Anolis sagrei: one gene and its partner. The protein of the gene in region 1 interacts with the protein of each later gene in a pairwise test. Links are inferred from orthologs where the notes say so. Each region holds a gene or a part of one and is shown on either strand. Other genes may lie near its edges.

The links.
Region 2: the proteins of ERG28 (region 1) and AQP2 interact in binary tests that used the Homo sapiens proteins (3 or more experiments, as listed by UniProt). The link is inferred for Anolis sagrei from reciprocal best matches to the Homo sapiens genes ERG28 and AQP2.

What each region holds. Positions count from the first base shown.
Region 1 is NC_090021.1:305,422,459-305,431,107, reverse strand, and holds the start of ERG28 (ergosterol biosynthetic protein 28 homolog), read left to right. Parts: upstream 1-3,923; 5' UTR 3,924-4,011; intron 4,012-5,362; 5' UTR 5,363-5,377; coding exon 5,378-5,510; intron 5,511-8,649.
Region 2 is NC_090022.1:135,996,901-136,005,549, reverse strand, and holds the start of AQP2 (aquaporin-2), read left to right. Parts: upstream 1-3,849; 5' UTR 3,850-3,883; coding exon 3,884-4,246; intron 4,247-8,649. UniProt on the Homo sapiens protein: Forms a water-specific channel that provides the plasma membranes of renal collecting duct with high permeability to water, thereby permitting water to move in the direction of an osmotic gradient. Plays an essential role in renal water homeostasis.

The DNA of each region.
Region 1 (8,649 bases):
TGCGCCCTCCAGGTGTTTTGGACTTCAACTCTCACAATTCCTATCATTTCATTTTGATTTAGGCGATCCCTTGTTTTCCGAATAGGATAGTCTCCCATGATCAGTGTACTGGCGGTGGCTCCGTAGGTGACTGTGGAGCCCTATTCTTGATCTGCATCTTCTCCCGCAGTGAGGGTATTGGTTTCCAGGTGGAAGGCGGTCCTGAAGGGGTTGGCTTGACACGCCTTCCTCTTGGGACGCTTCCCTCTTTTGCCCTCCATTCATGCCTCTTCAAATTCTACAGCACTGCTGGTCACAGCTGACTCCAGTTGGAGCGCTCAAGGGCTGGAGCTTCTCAGTTCTCAGTGTCTATGCCAGAATTTTTAAGATTGGCTTTGAGCCCATCTTTAAATTTCTTTTCCTGCCCACCAACATTCCATTTTCTGTTCTTGAGTTCAGAGCAGAGCAACTGCTTTGGGAGATGGTGGTCAGGCATCCGGACAACATGGCCGGTCCAGCAGAGTTGATGGCGGAGGACCATTGCTTCGATGCTGGCAGGGATGTGAGGGCGATCTGGCTGCGACATCTGTCACCCCACTGATCGCCAGGGTTGATTCGGCTGATCTGGCTGGCTAGGCAGGTGTCCCCTTCCTCCCTCACCTCCATGTGCGTCCCTCCCGAAGCTGCGCGCTCGGTGGAAGAGGTCGACGTCCCAGGTATAGTGTACTGAGGTCTCCAGCCTTCGGTCCCGGGTTACAATGCTGGCAGTATTTGCTTCTTCCAACACGATGACATTTGTCCGCTTGTCTTCCCAAGAGATTTGCAGGATTTTCCGGAGGCAGCGCTGATGGAATCGTTCCAAGAGTTGCATGTGACTTCTGTAGACAGTCCATGTCTCGCAGGTGTATAGCAGGGTTGAGAAGACAATAACTTTATAAACAAGCACCTTGGTATCCCTACGGATGTCCCGGCCCTCAAACACTCTCTGCTTCATTCGGAAAAAAACCTGCACTCGCAGAGCTCAGGCGGTGTTGTATTTCAGTGTCAATGTTGACTTTTGTGGAGAGGTGGCTGCCAAGGTAGTGGAAATGATTAACATTTCCTACAGGCTGTTAGGAACTGTGGGAGCTGAAGTCCAAAACACCTGGAGAGACCAAGTGTGGTTATATCAGGCATGGGCAAACTTGGGCCCTCCAGGTGTTTTGGACTTCAACTCCCACAATTCCTACCAGCTCAGTTCTTGTGGGTTTTTTCGGGCTATATGGCCATGTTCTAGAGGCATTTCTCCTGACGTTTCGCCTGCATGTATGGCAAGCATCCTCAGAGGTGAGGTCTGCTGGAACTGGGGAAAAAAGGGGTTTATATATCTGTGGAATGACCAGGGTGAGACACAGGGCTTTTGTAAGTTTGGGCTAGGTGTGAATCTTTCAACTGACCACCTTGATTAGCATACAATGGGCTGACTGTGCCTGGAGCAAACTCTTCTTGAAAGGTGATTAGATGTCCCTGCCTGTTTTTCTCTCTTTTTTGGTGTTGCAATTTTAGAATTTTTTAATACTGGTAGCCTGATTTTGTTCATTTTCATGGTTTCTTCCTTTCTGTTGAAATTGTCCACATGTTTGTGGATTTCAATGGCTTCCCTGTGTAGTCTGGCATGGTGGATGTGAGAGTGGTCCAGCATTTTTGTGTTCTCAAATAATATGCTGTGTCCAGGCTGGTTCATCAGGTGCTCTGCTATAGCTGACTTCTCTGGTTGAAGTAGTCTGCAGTGCCTTTCATGTTCCTTGATGCGTGTCTGGGCGCTGCGTTTGGTGGTCCCTATGTAGACTTGTCCACAGCTGCATGGTATACGGTAGACTCCTGCAGAGGTGAGAGGATCCCTCTTGTCCTTTGCTGAACGTAGCATTTGTTGGATTTTCTTGGTGGGTTTGTATTATTTATTATTTATTTATTTCTTGCATTTATTGACCGCCCCTCTCAGCCCGAAGGCGACTCGGGGCGGTGAACAACAACAAAGAAGACAGTGTACAGTGAGATTTGTAGATTGTTTGTATGTTGTGTTTCCTCATCAGTTTCCCTATGCGGTCAGTGGTTCCCTTGATGTATGGCAGGAACACTTTTCCTACCGGCTGTTAGGAATTGTGGGAGTTGGAGTCCAATATACCTGGAGGGCCCACGTTTGCCCATGCCTGGGTTATACTGTGTTTTGTTTACATAATTTGAAATCTATGTTAAACACTTGATCTATGTTAAATCTATGTTAAACACGTGTTGGATGGGGCCGCACTCCCCCTGAAGATGCAGGTTCGCAGCTTGGGTATGACCCTGGACTCATCGCTGAGCCTGGAACCCCAGGTTTCGGCGGTGACCAGGGGAGCATTTGCACAGCTAAAGCTTGTGCGCCAGCTGCGCCCATACCTTGGGAAGTCTGACTTGGCCACAGTAGTCCACGCTCTGGTTACATCCCGTTTAGACTACTGCAACGCTCTCTACGTGGGGTTGCCTTTGAAGACAGCTCGGAAGCTCCAACTAGTCCAACACTCGGCAGCCATGATTTTAACAGGAGCGGAGCGCAGGGAGCATACAACCCCCCTGTTGCGCCAACTCCACTGGCTACCGATCTGCTACCGGGCTGAATTCAAAGTGCTGGCGTTGGCCTTTAAAGCCCTAAACGGTTCCGGCCCAAGCTACCTATCTGACCGCATCTCTGCCTATGAACCCACCAGGAGTTTGAGATCTTCCGGGGAGACCCTGCTCTCGATCCCGCCTGCTTCTCAAGCTTGGCTGGCGGGGACGAGAGATAGGGCCTTCTCGGTGGTGGCTCCTCGCCTGTGGAACGCCCTTCCTACGGACATTAGACTAGCACCATCTCTAATGGTATTCCGCAAAAAGGTGAAGACCTGGATGTTTGTGCAGGCGTTTGAGTAATTTAGTGCAATCTGGTAATGGAACATAGGAATGGAACAATGGACGACGAACCTGGACTACGCTTGGATGATGAGAAGATTGGGTACGGTTGTTTTTTGTAATAATTGTGCATTGTAATTGCTTATTGGTAATTTATGGATAATGTGTTAAGTCAATTGTTATATGTTGTATGGAACCACTGCTGTTTCTACTGTTTTTACTGTTTGTGAACCGCCGTGAGTCGCCTTCGGGCTTGAGATACAGCGGTATATAATCAAAGTAAATAAATAAATAATAAATAAACACTATAGATACTGAATCTAGCGTGGGGACTTGGGGATTCTGGGAGTTGTAGTCCAACCAAGTCGCTTCCCCCTCCCGCCCGTGTTGCCGTGTCCCTGAGCGGCCTCTCTCTTCTGGGCCAAAGCAGGCTGCTCCCCGTTCCCCCCTCAGGACAGGCCCAGGACCTTTGAGGGAGTAGGAGACACCGCCTGCTGCCCTCCTCCTGGGAGCCTCCCGAGGGTGAGTGCCCACTCTGCCGCTCCTGAAGCCCGTGGCGCCCTTACCTGCGGCTTCATCTCCCTGGAGGGCCCGGCAGCCGCGGCTCCTCTTGCCGGCGCTTCGCTCTGTTACTACAACAACCAACCAGCAACCGCCTTCCTCCCTCCCTCGCTCGCTCCCTCATCGAAGGCGCGTCTGCGCAAGCGCAGGCTCCTCACTCCCGCCCGAGGCGCTTTCCCCAGTTGCGCATGCGCACCTATCCAATCCCCCCTCATTCATTTCCACATGCCTCTTCCAATATGGCGCCGTCCAATATCCTTTTATAACCAGGAAGGGAGGGCAGTGGTGCAATTTGCCTCATCGAACCGCCCCTTCTGTGTTGACGTCACAACGGCCCAATCGCTTTCAAAATATTTGATTGACCTATCCGTTCAGCCATTCGCGTGGCGCGGGGCTAAGACTTGGAGTGGGAGGTGACAACCAATCAGGAGAACGACAACCCTGACAGCGGGCCAATCATTGCGCAGGCAGCGAAGGGGGCGTGGCTACAGCTCCTTGGGTTGGAGGTAGGGTGGAAAGCTTGCTGCCTCTGGGAACCAGGTAGACAACCTGTTAAAGAGCAAGGTAGGCATAGAGGTATTCCTTGATGGGGGGGCTGCATATGGAGGACTGCCCTGTGGATGGGTTGGTGTTATGAAGTTAGGGAACAGGTGGCAGGTAATATTAGAGTTGTCAAGAGAAAATGACATTTGACAAGGATGATGGACATCATGGTCGCTAGGTGTTTCCAGCATGCCAAAATGCAATATCTTTGTATTGGGATGTATTGCAATTTTTTAAAAAGTAAGTTTCCAGTGCATTATTGCTAAATATGCATCCTGTGGGTGCTCCTATATTAAAATTAAAATAGGAGACAGGCTATCAGGAACAGCAAAAAAAAAAAAAATCCACCTGCTTGCCTGATACTTTCCTTTTTTCTTAGTTATCTGGCCTCCCCTGTTATGCACTGAAAAATTGGTGTGTCTACATTATAGAATGAATGCAGTTTAAAACCACTTTAACTTCCATTGCTCAATGCATTGGTATCCTGAAAGGTGTAGTTTGGTTGAGATAACAGCATTCTTTGATAGAGATGAATGAAGACCTCATAAAACTACAACTCCCATGATTCTATAGCATTGAGCCATGAAAGTTAAAGTGCTGTCAAAGTGTATTAAGTCGAGAGAGTAGATGTATCCTACCTGAGTGCAGGGATAAAACAAATGAATTAGCAACATTGATGTGCAACTAGTCCTCTGTGTGCATTTTTGAATGTTGCTTCTGCTACGCCTCCCCCCAAATTAGGTCAGTACAGAAATGGTACCAGAGACAATTCAGTAACTAACCTCATGCCAATATCTCAGTAGATGAGATATAAGGTTTCTGTCTTTCAGCCTCATCACACCAGAGCATGGATCCACCTTAAATCCACCTCCTGCAGAATTCTGGGGTTTGTAGTTTAGTGAGGCCCAGGACGTGTCTGGCTGAACAGTGTAAAGCCCCCCCCCTAAACTACAAGTCCCAGAATTCTGCAGGAGGCAAAAACTGGATTTAAAGTGGATACATGCTCTAGTGTGATGAGGTCCTTTGTCTTTATTATGGAGCATGATCTTTTTAATTAGGTGATCCTTATAGAAAGTGGTGGATGTAACTGTGGTTTTCCCCCTCCAAAGGTCCATTCTGAAGGTGAACATTTGTGGTTCTCCAGATGTTGCTGCAATGCAATTCCCAGCTGTGATAACAACTTAAGCAATTGTAAGGAATGCTGGGAATTGCAGTTCTGCAACATCTGGGGAATTCAATGATTCCCACTCTTGGTCGACTGATCTAGGAGATAAGTATGCAAACATTTGGTGGAGGATAGTTAATGTGACTATGAATTATGATGCAGAGTGGTATCATGAACTCCAGAATCTGCCTTTGTTCCCCTGAGCAGGTTGTGTGATGCAAGATGAGCCGTTTCCTGAATGTGCTCCGTAGCTGGCTAGTTATGGTGTCCATCATTGCCATGGGGAACACAGTGCAAAGCTTCAGAGATCACAGCTTTCTCTCTGAGAAGCTGTACACAGGCAAGCCAAACCTTGGTAAGATATTCAGGAAGGCTATTTTCTTTTTTTCTTTTTTTACACATGGGAAATACTCAACTTTTAGCCTTAAGATCTATATTTTGTTTGAGGTTTGGAAATGCTTGTTCATATATCATATTTTTTTTAATTTTTAAACATTTACTCCTTGAAGTAGCTCACAGTGTTTTTTCTTTAAAAGTTTAAAAGCCTTTAAAGATATTGCAGCAGCTTTCAGATAAATAGGTACGTAATTTAGTAGCTTCCCAGTTAACCAGAAACCACAGGGATTGGCAGCTGCCAGATAAATATAGTTTTTTATTCCTTGAGAATTATTATTCAAAATAGGCCTAACTGATACTATATCCCTAGTTGTGCCAAGCCATACCATAAACTTTGTATTGATTTGATATTAATATTCAAATGCAGAAATTAAAATTAAAACAGTAAAGACAAACTTAACGTAACACAGTTTTAGTATTTTACTATATTATAAAAACAGCTTTTTACATTTGATGTTTTAGTTTTTTGACTTTTTTTTTGCCAGTTGCTTGAGAGTTCCAGTTGCTTGGCTTCAGATTGACTGAGAGACTACTGAAGGCATGGGCAAACTTTCTAACTTGGGGGCCACATGGTGGGCCAGGAGGAAGGGGGTTCTCCCCAAGTCCCCTTCCTGCCCTTTCCTCCCCTTCCTCTTCTCTTTCAAAGGCAGAAAGTGAAGGAAAGACAGGAAACGTTTGGATCCCAAAAGGGTTGGTCTTGGTCAGGATGAGATGGTGGACTGGAGAGAAAAAGTATATACATTCGACCCCGTATTGCCTACTCCTGATATAGAATCCAAGCACTGAAAGAGACCCCCAAGGGCCATCCAGTCCATCCCCCTGCCATGCAGGAAGGCACAATCAAAGCACTCCCAATAGACAACCCTTGTGTAAAAGCCTCCAGAGAAGGAGACTCCACCACACTCAGAGGCAGCCTATGCTACTCTCCAACAGCTCTTACTCTTAGGAAGTTCTTTTCAGTCAAATATCTTTCCCTGCCATTTTAAACCATTGCTCCCTTGTGTCCTGGTCTCTAGAGCAGTAGAAAATCAGTTTTCCCCTCCTCCTCAATCTTGAAACATGGCTCTTGTGTTCTCTCTCTATTATAATAATAAGACTGTATTTATAACCTGCCCTATTTCCCCAAGGGGATTCTACCTTCTCTCCTCTCAGCTAAACATCCCCCAGGAGGAAAGGAGGAAGGAACAAGAAAAGGAAAAAAGATAGGAAGAGAAAGATGGAAGGAAGGGTGGAAGGGAATGGAGGGAAACGGGGGGAGGAGAGAAGGAAAGACAAAAGAGAAAGGAGAAAGGGAGAGAGGGGGGGAGGAAAGAGAGAAGGAAGGAAGGACAAAAGGGTGGAAGGTACTAGGGAGAGGGAGAAAGGGAAGGGAGGGAGGAGAGAAGGAAGGAAAGACAAAGGAGAAGGAAGATAGGAGAAAGGAGGAGAGAGAAGGAGGGAGGGAGGAAAGAAAGAAAGGAGGAAGGAAAGACGAAAGGGTGGAAGGAAAGGAAGAAGGGAGAAAGAGAGAGGGGTGGAGGAAAGAAAGAGGGAAGGAAGGAAGGATATGACCTGGGTTTGCCTATTCATGGTCTACTGTGTTAATATGTGGTATAGAGAAATCTTGTGGTTGCATTTTTCATGGACTCCAGACCACTTTTTCAAACATTGAAATAAGTTAGTCTTACAGGTCCCACAAGATTCCTCCCTTTCCATGACACACATCTTTCAGTTCCGGCTGAATCACTATGAACTACGTCCAGTTGTTAATCCTAGCAAATGTAGACATAATGAATGAATGCGAATTTGGGGAGTCAATACTTATGTGAGATCATTGATTCCACAAGGCTACATTAGTTGGAGCAAACAATTGAATTCAGACCTATGTCAGACCTATGTCTACCTCTACTCACTAATGTAGAAGGCAGAAGCATATTTTCAACGTTATAAATTAGGTGAAGAACAGGCCCCTTGGAGCTGTCCAAAACATGTACAGTGTTCCCTCGCTACTTTGCGGTTCGCTTTTCGCAAACTTCGCTGTTTCACGGTTTTTTGCCCCCAGTTTATGAATGTTTGCCGTTGCCCAGAGTGGCATTCTAATCCCACCTCCTGGCAACGATGGAGTGTGGAAGGGGGTTTCACCCTCCCCCTCAGGAGAGAGGCAGCTAATCAAGAGAGATTGCAAAGCAAAGCAAAGATAGCTAGCAAAAAAAGGTGTGCGGTACCTTTAAATCTCTCCTCACTTCTGCCTCACCCTCGGAATGTGGTATAAATATATAGCATCCCTACATTGTGGATTTTCACTTATCACGGGTGGTCCTGGAATGTAACACCCGCAATAAGTGAGGGAACACTGTATATATGTATAATGGAAAAATGTGTGTATCCAGCTCAGATCTGTATAATGTTGCATAATCCCTACGAAGAGGAAGCTATTTTATACTGAGTCAAATTTATTCCCTCTAGTTATATTTTTTCCATTACAGATAGTGACTCGGACATACTTACTTGTTTTATGCTCAGAGTGGTGTATTCTGCTCCAATCGACAATCACCTCCACAACAATCCATTGTTTGGATTCCAGAAGACACTGTTTGTAGGAATATCAGGTTCTGGAAAGCTGTGTTAGAGCTCTTTCCCCCACGAGAAAGAGAATCACCAGCTCTGCTATTTCCATGGAATAACCTGTCTCCCTAATTTATGTAACAAGCTCACTCACTCTCTCATTATATGTGTAGCTTTACTTCCAGTTAATTAAGTCTGTGTACTCCTTTATGCACTTGGGAGGTGGCTATATTAGGCAGTCCTCTCCATTTCTGTAATGAATGCATATGAGCAGTCTTCAGTGCTAAACCAGTATATGTGTCTTTTGGAAAACTGATATATATGTGAATCCCCCCATTAGAATAATCTGCTTCCCTTGCAAATAAAATCCCTATCTGTGCACACCATTTTCCCCTACTTAGTCTCACTTCTGTTTGCATGTATACACATTAGTACACATTAAGGCCACGTGTACGGTATATTAGAAAGTCCAGCAACAAACTTCTGAATTCTGCCTATGAGCCAAGAATCTTTGGGGCGATAACCTTTTCCCTTTGACCTCTTGCATTTCTGTA
Region 2 (8,649 bases), on another chromosome or scaffold:
GCTGACTGAAAGGATGGAGGTTTGAATCCAGAGAGCAGGGTGAGCTACCATCTGTCAGCCCCAGCTTCTCATGCAAGGATGTGAGAGAAGCCTCCCACAGGATGGTAAAACATCTGACCATCCCCTGGGCAATGTCCTTGCAGACAGTTGATTCTCTCACACCAGAAGGGACTTGTAGTTTCTCAAGTTGCTCCTGACATGAAAAAAAATGTTGTCATGACTGTTTCTTATTAGGAGAAAAATAAAAAAAGTGATGTAATTGCTTACACCATAACTGCTCTTTTATGAGATAAAGGTGGATAAAGGTTTCCTGGAGAAGAAGTCAAACAAGAGGGTTAAAAAAACAAATAAATAAGAAACTTAGATCTAGAGTAGACATGAGCATATGATTAGTGTAGTTAAAACTATTATGTTAAAACTATAACAAAGTATCCATGTGCAAAGTGTAGCTAAACTGGGCTCTCAATCCTAATATTGCCACAATGCCTCCTTGTTACTTCTTAATACTTCCTGAAGCCGATTCCAATAATGTCAGCAATTACGTGTTAAGAAATTATCTTTCTCTTGGGAAAGTAGAGTAAAATAAAATAAGCATTCATGAGAAGCTACATGCTGAAACGGCAAAGCCACCGCACCTCTAGGAAATGTGAGATGGTTCTAGTTATGCTATAGGCCTGATCGGACCAGAAAACATAATTTGCAGCCATGGCAGCATCAAGATGTTTACCTCCTGAGTTGACACCTCTTTGAATGCTTTACTAGCAGTATAATTGTAGTGTGCACAAAGTCATGCTTGTGATGTAGAGGTGGACTGTAGGCTGTCCAAATCAGTCGAATGCAATCTCTTTCTACTGAGCTTGTAAGGATTCGAAGAAGATCTCACCTACAGATTACATGTGTACCATATGAGCTTAGCTAACTACAAAGAGCTTTTATAGTTAAATGAGGAATTAGATAAAACTATGAATATACTCATGGTGTAAAATAGTTTTGATCTGCAACTGTATTGTCTGCACCAATGAAATCGCAGGGTTTCCAAATAGATGGACTCCCAGTGAGCTGCGTGCATTTTAGCAATATGTGTTAGAATTATACTATTGTATTGTCAAAAATACTGAAACAGAAAAGAAAATTCCCTGGGCTATGACGACTTCCTGGTGATATCCTCTGGATCAGTCCTCTCGATCCCTCCCCCCTTGCCAGTGAGGCTGATGGGGACCAGGGAGAGGGTCTTCTCAGTAGTAGTCCCCTGGCTCTGGAACAGAGAGATTAGAAAAACAATCATCTTATGACATTTAGGAGGGATTTGAAGACAAGGCTGTTTAAATAGTCTTTTGGCAATGATTAGTCAACACTTTTAATGTGGACAAGGCCTTTGTTTTGGATAGTAGGGTCCTTTTAACTCATAGGAATGGCTATGTTTTTAACTAATGTGTTATAATGTCTTATTTTTCATTTTGTTGACTTGTGTTATGGTTTATCTAGCTTGTTTTTATAGTGATTTGATGTGTTATTATTTGTTTATTTTTATGTAACTTATTGTATTTTTCATGTTGTGAGCCACCATGAGTCCTGCAGGGAGATGGGCAGAGTACAAATGAAGTTGTTGTTGTTGTTGTTGTTGTTGTTGTTGTTGTTGTTGTTGTTGTTAGGATTTCAGATTTGGTGGAGGGGTAAGTCAAGAGGTAGGTGTTAGATTAACAGAGGAAAAATTCCAAGGCAAAATTCAGATTCTGGAAAAAGAATGTGGCACAGTTTAAAGGCCAACCACAAGTTGCCATTTACAACAACTGAAAATCACAATGGCTAGAAACAAGGAAGAAGCTGATTGGCCAGTGGCAGAATCCTGAAATTAAGTTTTGAGGAACAGAGCCAAAGCTTAGCCTGGACACGATTCTTTTTCTAATTTAATCAAAGCACTCAGACTAAAGATCAAATTCTGGGGCAGGATTAAAAACCTGGGTGGATTATGGTAGTGGAAGAGGCAGATTGACCTCAGAGTCAATAGACTCTGAAAATTCAGGTATCTATTTGTGGTTTTATTGTAGCCTAAATGACACCTTCAAGAAGCCTAGACCAGTCTATCTTGTTGCCTGGCAAAAAAATTAAACAGGCAGTAAGATAGGAAGCTACAAGCTCATAAATTATTTTATTGAACAGTACTACTTCAACATGCTCCAGTTTCCCAACATCCTATGTATAACCTCAGTTGTCTCCGCTAAACTTCTGCCCATCACCTATTATTGACAAGATGTCTAATAATACTGGCCTGCCTTACAGACACATCATAAAGTTTGCTCAGATATGGTATCTAGAACCAGCTCAGAATTAAATTATTGTGTAAGTTATTGATTTATTAAATGAAAAATAGTCCTAAAGTGAGATTTGAAAACATTTTCAACGTTTCTCTCTACTCAAGAACGAATTCCCTTGGATTTTTTTTTCTTTTTGCAAAGCATTCCTTTCTTTATATGAGTCCATCAAGTCTAGTGAATTATAATCTCACGTGATTCAAACTGCATACCCAAAAGTAGTTAAAGTGGATGAATGACATGAAGGCAGTGGTGGAAATCATGTGGCCCTGCATGTTTTTGAAGCAGAAGAAGCCAATAAGGGGGAAATGTTATGGTATCCATAATTCTCACTCCTGTGTTATGGGTCGTTGGAGTTAGCAGTCCTAGTAATGGATAAAGTGTACCCATGCCAACTTGAGAGAGGTAGAGGAAAGGTGGGTTATAACTGTAAACAAAAGCATTATCTTTTCTCCAAAGGATTTTTTTACACAAAGCAGCTGACACAGGATTCCAGTGCAATAATGTCTGAATGACAAATAGATATCCAATTGAAAAGTCTTATGTGCATGACTAATTATTAATTTCACTATCAGATTATTGTAATAAAGGCAAATATCTGGAGGAATCCTTGTTTATTATAATTCACAATTGGAATATGACAGTTGAGTTAAATCCAAGGTTAGAAGATTTACAACTAATATATTAAGGGTCTCTTGGATGTGAATCTGGCATTCTTTGAATGCAGATGGTTTTCTGTATTCTAGAGGCTAATCATTTATCTCTGGAACTTGAATTTTGAAGCCCCTAGTCCTGGTATGTTGACTGAGTCCCACATGATAATCTGTAAAATAAATAAAGTGTTTAAGGGCCCTTGACAAAGATTTTTATAATGCCCCCTAACCAATCTAGCAGCCACCAGTGTCATGGGACACTCCATTGTGGGAAAGCTAAAATGACAGCTCTCAAGTGATGAAATCAATGAAACACTGTGTTCCCATCAGAAACAGATTGATGGAAGGAGGTCAGTAGGTCAGCAAATGCCCAATTGGTGGTGTAATGCCAAACAGGGCATGCTGAGGCATGTGCACCCATACACCTGCTCCAGAAGGCTCAAAACTAAGCATAAAATGAGTAAATGGAAACACTTGCTAAATGCACAAACATAAAATAGACAAGGACAAATCTGAAAAAATGGCTAAGTTCATCAGATCATGATGGTGGAGTGGTGTTGGAGGTCTGCATCTCAGTATACGGACTGGTGTTTGACTCACTTAGGACTACTACATGCACACAGTAGTTCAGTATTGGAAAGTCAAATGCTAATTTTTCAAGTTATGAGAGAAGAAGGCAGGGTCTGAAAACTCTTCAGCTAGAACAGGAAAGAAAAGGCATTATGTATCCAAACCCCACCTCCTCTTGGAGATCTCTAGCTATTCTGCATGCATATATATTATGCATAAGCATATGTAGTACATACAAGGAAGGAGAAATTGAAAAACTCCAGTATCCTTCCAGGATCTACTATTATTTATTACCACAGAGAAGTGAGCTGAGAGATCAGCTTCCACTCTCCTACACAGCCCTCACCAATGATGTGGGAACTTCGCTCCGTGGCTTTCACTCGTGCAGTCTTTGCAGAATTCATAGCCACGCTGATTTTTATCTTTTTTGGCCTTGGCTCGGCTTTGAACTGGCCTTCATCCCCACCAAATGTCCTCCAGATTTCACTGGCCTTTGGCTTGGCTATTGCAACCTTGGTCCAGACCTTGGGCCACATCAGTGGAGCCCATATTAACCCTGCTGTGACTGTGGCATGTCTGGTGGGCTCTCAGGTCTCCTTCTTGAGAGCAGTCTTCTATGTGGTGGCACAGATTCTGGGAGCAGTGACAGGAGCTGCCCTCTTGCATCAACTCACACCGCCCCATATCCGAGGGAACTTGGCCATCAACAGGGTAAGGAAACTAACTATCCACAGAAGTGGGAGGGATGAAGGACTATGGTGGTGGGATGTTCAAAATACCCTCTAGTAAATTAAAGACGATTCTTCACACAGCTTAATTTTAAAAGAAAGCAAGGATACTAATTTTCCCCTTGGTTTCCATGGAAGTTTAATCCTGATAGTCATAAAAATGATGGAGAAATAAGCCTCTAGAGTTTCCCCTAAGAGGACCCCCAATTTAAGCACCATGGGTGTGTCACACTCTCTCAGCCTCAGAGAATTGGGAAATAATTTACTATCAGGATTAAACTTACTACACCTGTAGGGCACATTTATAGCTGTAAGCTTGCCATATTTCAGAATGTTTCACTTATCCATTTTTTTTTGGAAATTTTTAAAAGTTTTTACAAATATTTTTTTAAAAAAACAAAACCAAAAAGAGGTATTTTTAAAAATTTCCCATTTTTATATATACATACTTTGTCCTTTTTTTTTGCTTTACTTCTATCTCCTTGCTTTCCCATTTTTCTTCAAAATACTATGTTCCCCCACTTTACTTGGAAACTATATGTCATTCTTTATAGCAAATAAAAAATTATTTCAACAAAAATTACTCACAGTGACAGAAAATGAGTAGGGCATCAATCCTGCAAAGTTTTAAAAACATGTGGCCATCCATTGATTTTTAGGATTTTTTTAAAAAAAATCGCTCTCTCAGACTGAGAGGAGGGGACACCTTGCACGAAAAAAAACCCAGGGAATTCTTGGACTTGAAGTCCAGGACAATGGAGAGTAAAACAAGCCTGAGAGTAGCTGAGTCAGACCATGTGATGCAACACATATGTCTGCACTCAGACCCATTGCTCCAACTGAGAGATAATGCTGCTTCAGCTATTGAAGAAAATCCTTAAAAGTCAGTGGATGACCAGATCTTTCTGAAACTTTCCTGGAATGATGTCCTACTCATATTCCGTCACTATGGGTAAATTTAAAAAAAATCTTCTGGGTTTTTTTAAAAATGGTATTTGTAAAAAATTTTTTTTCAAAACATCAGTGAACGAGCGAAACATCCTGAAACATTTCATGCCCTACAAATGTGCAATGTTTAATCCTCATAGCCATAAAAATGATCGAGAAATTAGCCTCTAAAATTTTCCCATTGGTGCCAATGGACCAAATCTTATAAAAATGAAAACGGAACTCAGGGTTCCAGATTACGAATCCGAATGGCCCCCTCCTAATCTCCTGGAATTTTCATGAAAACAGAATTGGGGGAACACATTCAAAACAAAAACAGAACAGATTTCCTCTGTTTTGCATTCCCGAAATACTTTCTATCACATGTTCTCCAAAATTCTCAGTCAGATATCATTCATTTCCCAGTCCTGCTCTCTACCTGGGAAACTTTTGATTGGAAAGGGAAGAAAGTAGGGAAGAAACCTGAAATCCTTTGACTTCAAAGATCAACAGTACCACTAAACCTGGGCAATCTAAGCAGACTTAGTTTTTGGTATCAGAACATTAGTTTTTGCAGTGTGTTACTTTCACATATAGATCTAATTCCTGCCCCAAAATATTTTGCATTTACCATATTAATTGAGGGGGGGGGGTTCAATGTGGTGAAATCACAAGGTGATGAAAATTCTTACCAATTGATCCCCATCTACCTCATTCATAGTGTTTCCCTTGCCGCCCTTTCCTGGGACCTTCTGAAAGATCTTCTCTGTGTATGTAGAGTTCTGCTCTCTTCGTACTACAATATGAGTTATAGTGGCAATTGATGATTTTCATGTCAGCACTATGGGTCTGAACTGTCCAAAGTGCTGAACCACATGCCACAAACAGTTCCATCATTTTGGATCATTCCTTTAAGATTTAAACTAAAACCTGAGCCTGGTTCACCACTCCCTTTATGTGGAAACCACTAACAACCAATGAGTAAATGCATTTAAGTAATTTCTACCTCACAGATGTCATCTTTAACAACTGAGGAGCAAGCAGAGAGCCCTTTCACACCACATAGTTAGAGGTTTTTCCTATTAAATTTCCATGGCTGCATCCTACAGAATTTTTGGGACTTGTGGTTTAACCAGAAGCATCAGAAGGGCTCCCTGGCTGAGGGGTCTCAACTGCAAATCATAGGACACTGGGTGGAGCTTTGTCATTTAAGATGGAATCTTTATGGTATATTTTGTAGTGTGGAAGGGCACATAGAAATGCTGCAAGTGCCATTTTCTCCATTCTTCTATATCTGTATTGGGGAAATTTTAATAACTGCATATTTCTAGATTGCTTTGAATGTGTGGAAGACACTAAAGTCAGGACATGAAAACAAAGGTGGTGGGATCTCTTACTCAATTTCAAGAGATAACTCAGTCTCTTGAAATTTTCTTGAACTTTGTGACATTCTCTCCCACAATTTTGGCAGCAACCTCATTTTGAATAATTGGAACAGGGTTGGTTTAGGATTTAAAATAAACCTGTTTTCCATGCTATTTATCAACTTGCATGCTAAATCCAGGCTGCTAGGCATCTGTGCTGGCAGGAAATATCGTTTTTGTACAATTGCTGCCTTTTCAGTCCTATAATGCTCTTTGAGCCTTTCCAGACAGGCTCTATACCCCAAGATCTGATCCCAGGTTTTCTGCTTTAAACTGGATTATATGTGTCCTCACTGCCAGATAATCTGAGATAAAAAGAAAACCTGAGATCAGATCCTGGAATATAGGGCCTGTCTGGAAGGGCCCTTTGAAAGTTGCTTCTGATAACTACCCTTCTTGGAGTGTCATGAATGCTCATTTTCCACTTTCACCAGATCTGAAAACCTAGCATCAGTCAGTACCAAAGGCAGCCCAAATACCTTGATGACCATGGTTGGAATATTATTGATCTACAGTAGCAGAACTATGGTGGTACAGGTAGTGGCAGCAGAGGAGAGAAAGACTACAGTTGCGATAGCTATGAAGGAAGCAGTCATGTGAGAAATAAAATGCCAGAAAACTATGTATGCACATCCAATCATATGTCTTGATGGGTGTTCTAAAGGGTGGATGGAGGCCACTCACAATTTTGCAACCAATTTACAACTTCTAATTACATTTTGATTTCTTTTAATGTTGTGTAGGATGTCGCTATGAGCCATTGGGTAACAGCACCATTTGCAATATCACTAGCCTTGTAGCAATAACAAAGATTTTTATCTCTTGACGCACTTGCTCAGCTGGACAAAATAAAACATACATAAATACAGAACTTGTGAATACCCAAATTGTCAGATTCTTGATATAGTCACGCTTGGCTTGTAAGCAGATATGGCTTCATGCTTCAGGACTGCATAACAAGCAACCCACCAAGCTGAACACAATTCAGCAGCACAGTATCATAGCCTATAAAGTGCTACTGAACACCCCTGTTTTTGTGTCACCCCAAGCAAGCAGCAAAAAGTAATATCCAGAGCTTTTGATGGGCGGCCATTCACACATGCTTGAATGTACCTTGTGGGTGGGGAAATCAACTGAAAAGTATATTATAATTTATTAGCATGTGTCAGGACTTTAGCTGTAACTCATAAGATAACACTTTGTGGTGATGCAATGGGTTAAACCCTTGTGCCGGCAGGACTGAAGACTGACAGGTTGGAGGTTCAAATCCAGGGAGAGCATGGATGAGCTCCCACTGTCAGCTCCAGCTTCCCATACGGGGATATGAGAGAAGCCTCTCACAAGGATGGTAAAACATCAAAACATCCGTGTGCCCCCTGGGCAATATACTTGCAGATGGCCAATTCTCTCACACCAGAAGTGACTTGCATTTTCTCAAGTCATTACTGACATGAAACAAACTTAAATATTGTTGCTGTTTGTTGGAGAAGCTACTTGATGACTTTGTTGTTTTGTGCCTTCAAGACATTTCTGACTTATGGTAATCCTAAAGTAAACCTGTCATGGGGATTTCTTGGTGAGATTTGTTCAGACTCTGAACTTCAGAGGGAGACTGCATTTGCCTTCTTCTGAGGTTAAGAGAATGTGACTTGCCCAAGAACACCCAAGTTCTGTGAGGAGAAGCTGAGGGAGCTAGGTATGTTTTATCTGGAAAATAGAAGGCCAAGAAATGACTCAATATTCAATCCATGTTAAAACACAAATACAGTCAGCCGCAGATGGTAGCCTGCAAATGAGCAATTAACCTCTTTTTTCCCTGCTTGCTTGACAAAGAATAAAAACAGGTTTTCCAGCAGTTGATCATTCAGGGTACCTAGCTGGTGAGTTGTGTTCAGCTTGGCAGATCCCAGATTATGCAGATACAATTTACAGCCATATCAACTTGCAAGCCAGGCAGGCTATATCAAAAAATCTGATCATTCAAATATTTGAAAGTTCAGCATTCAAGCATATTTTATTGCATCCAGTAGTACAA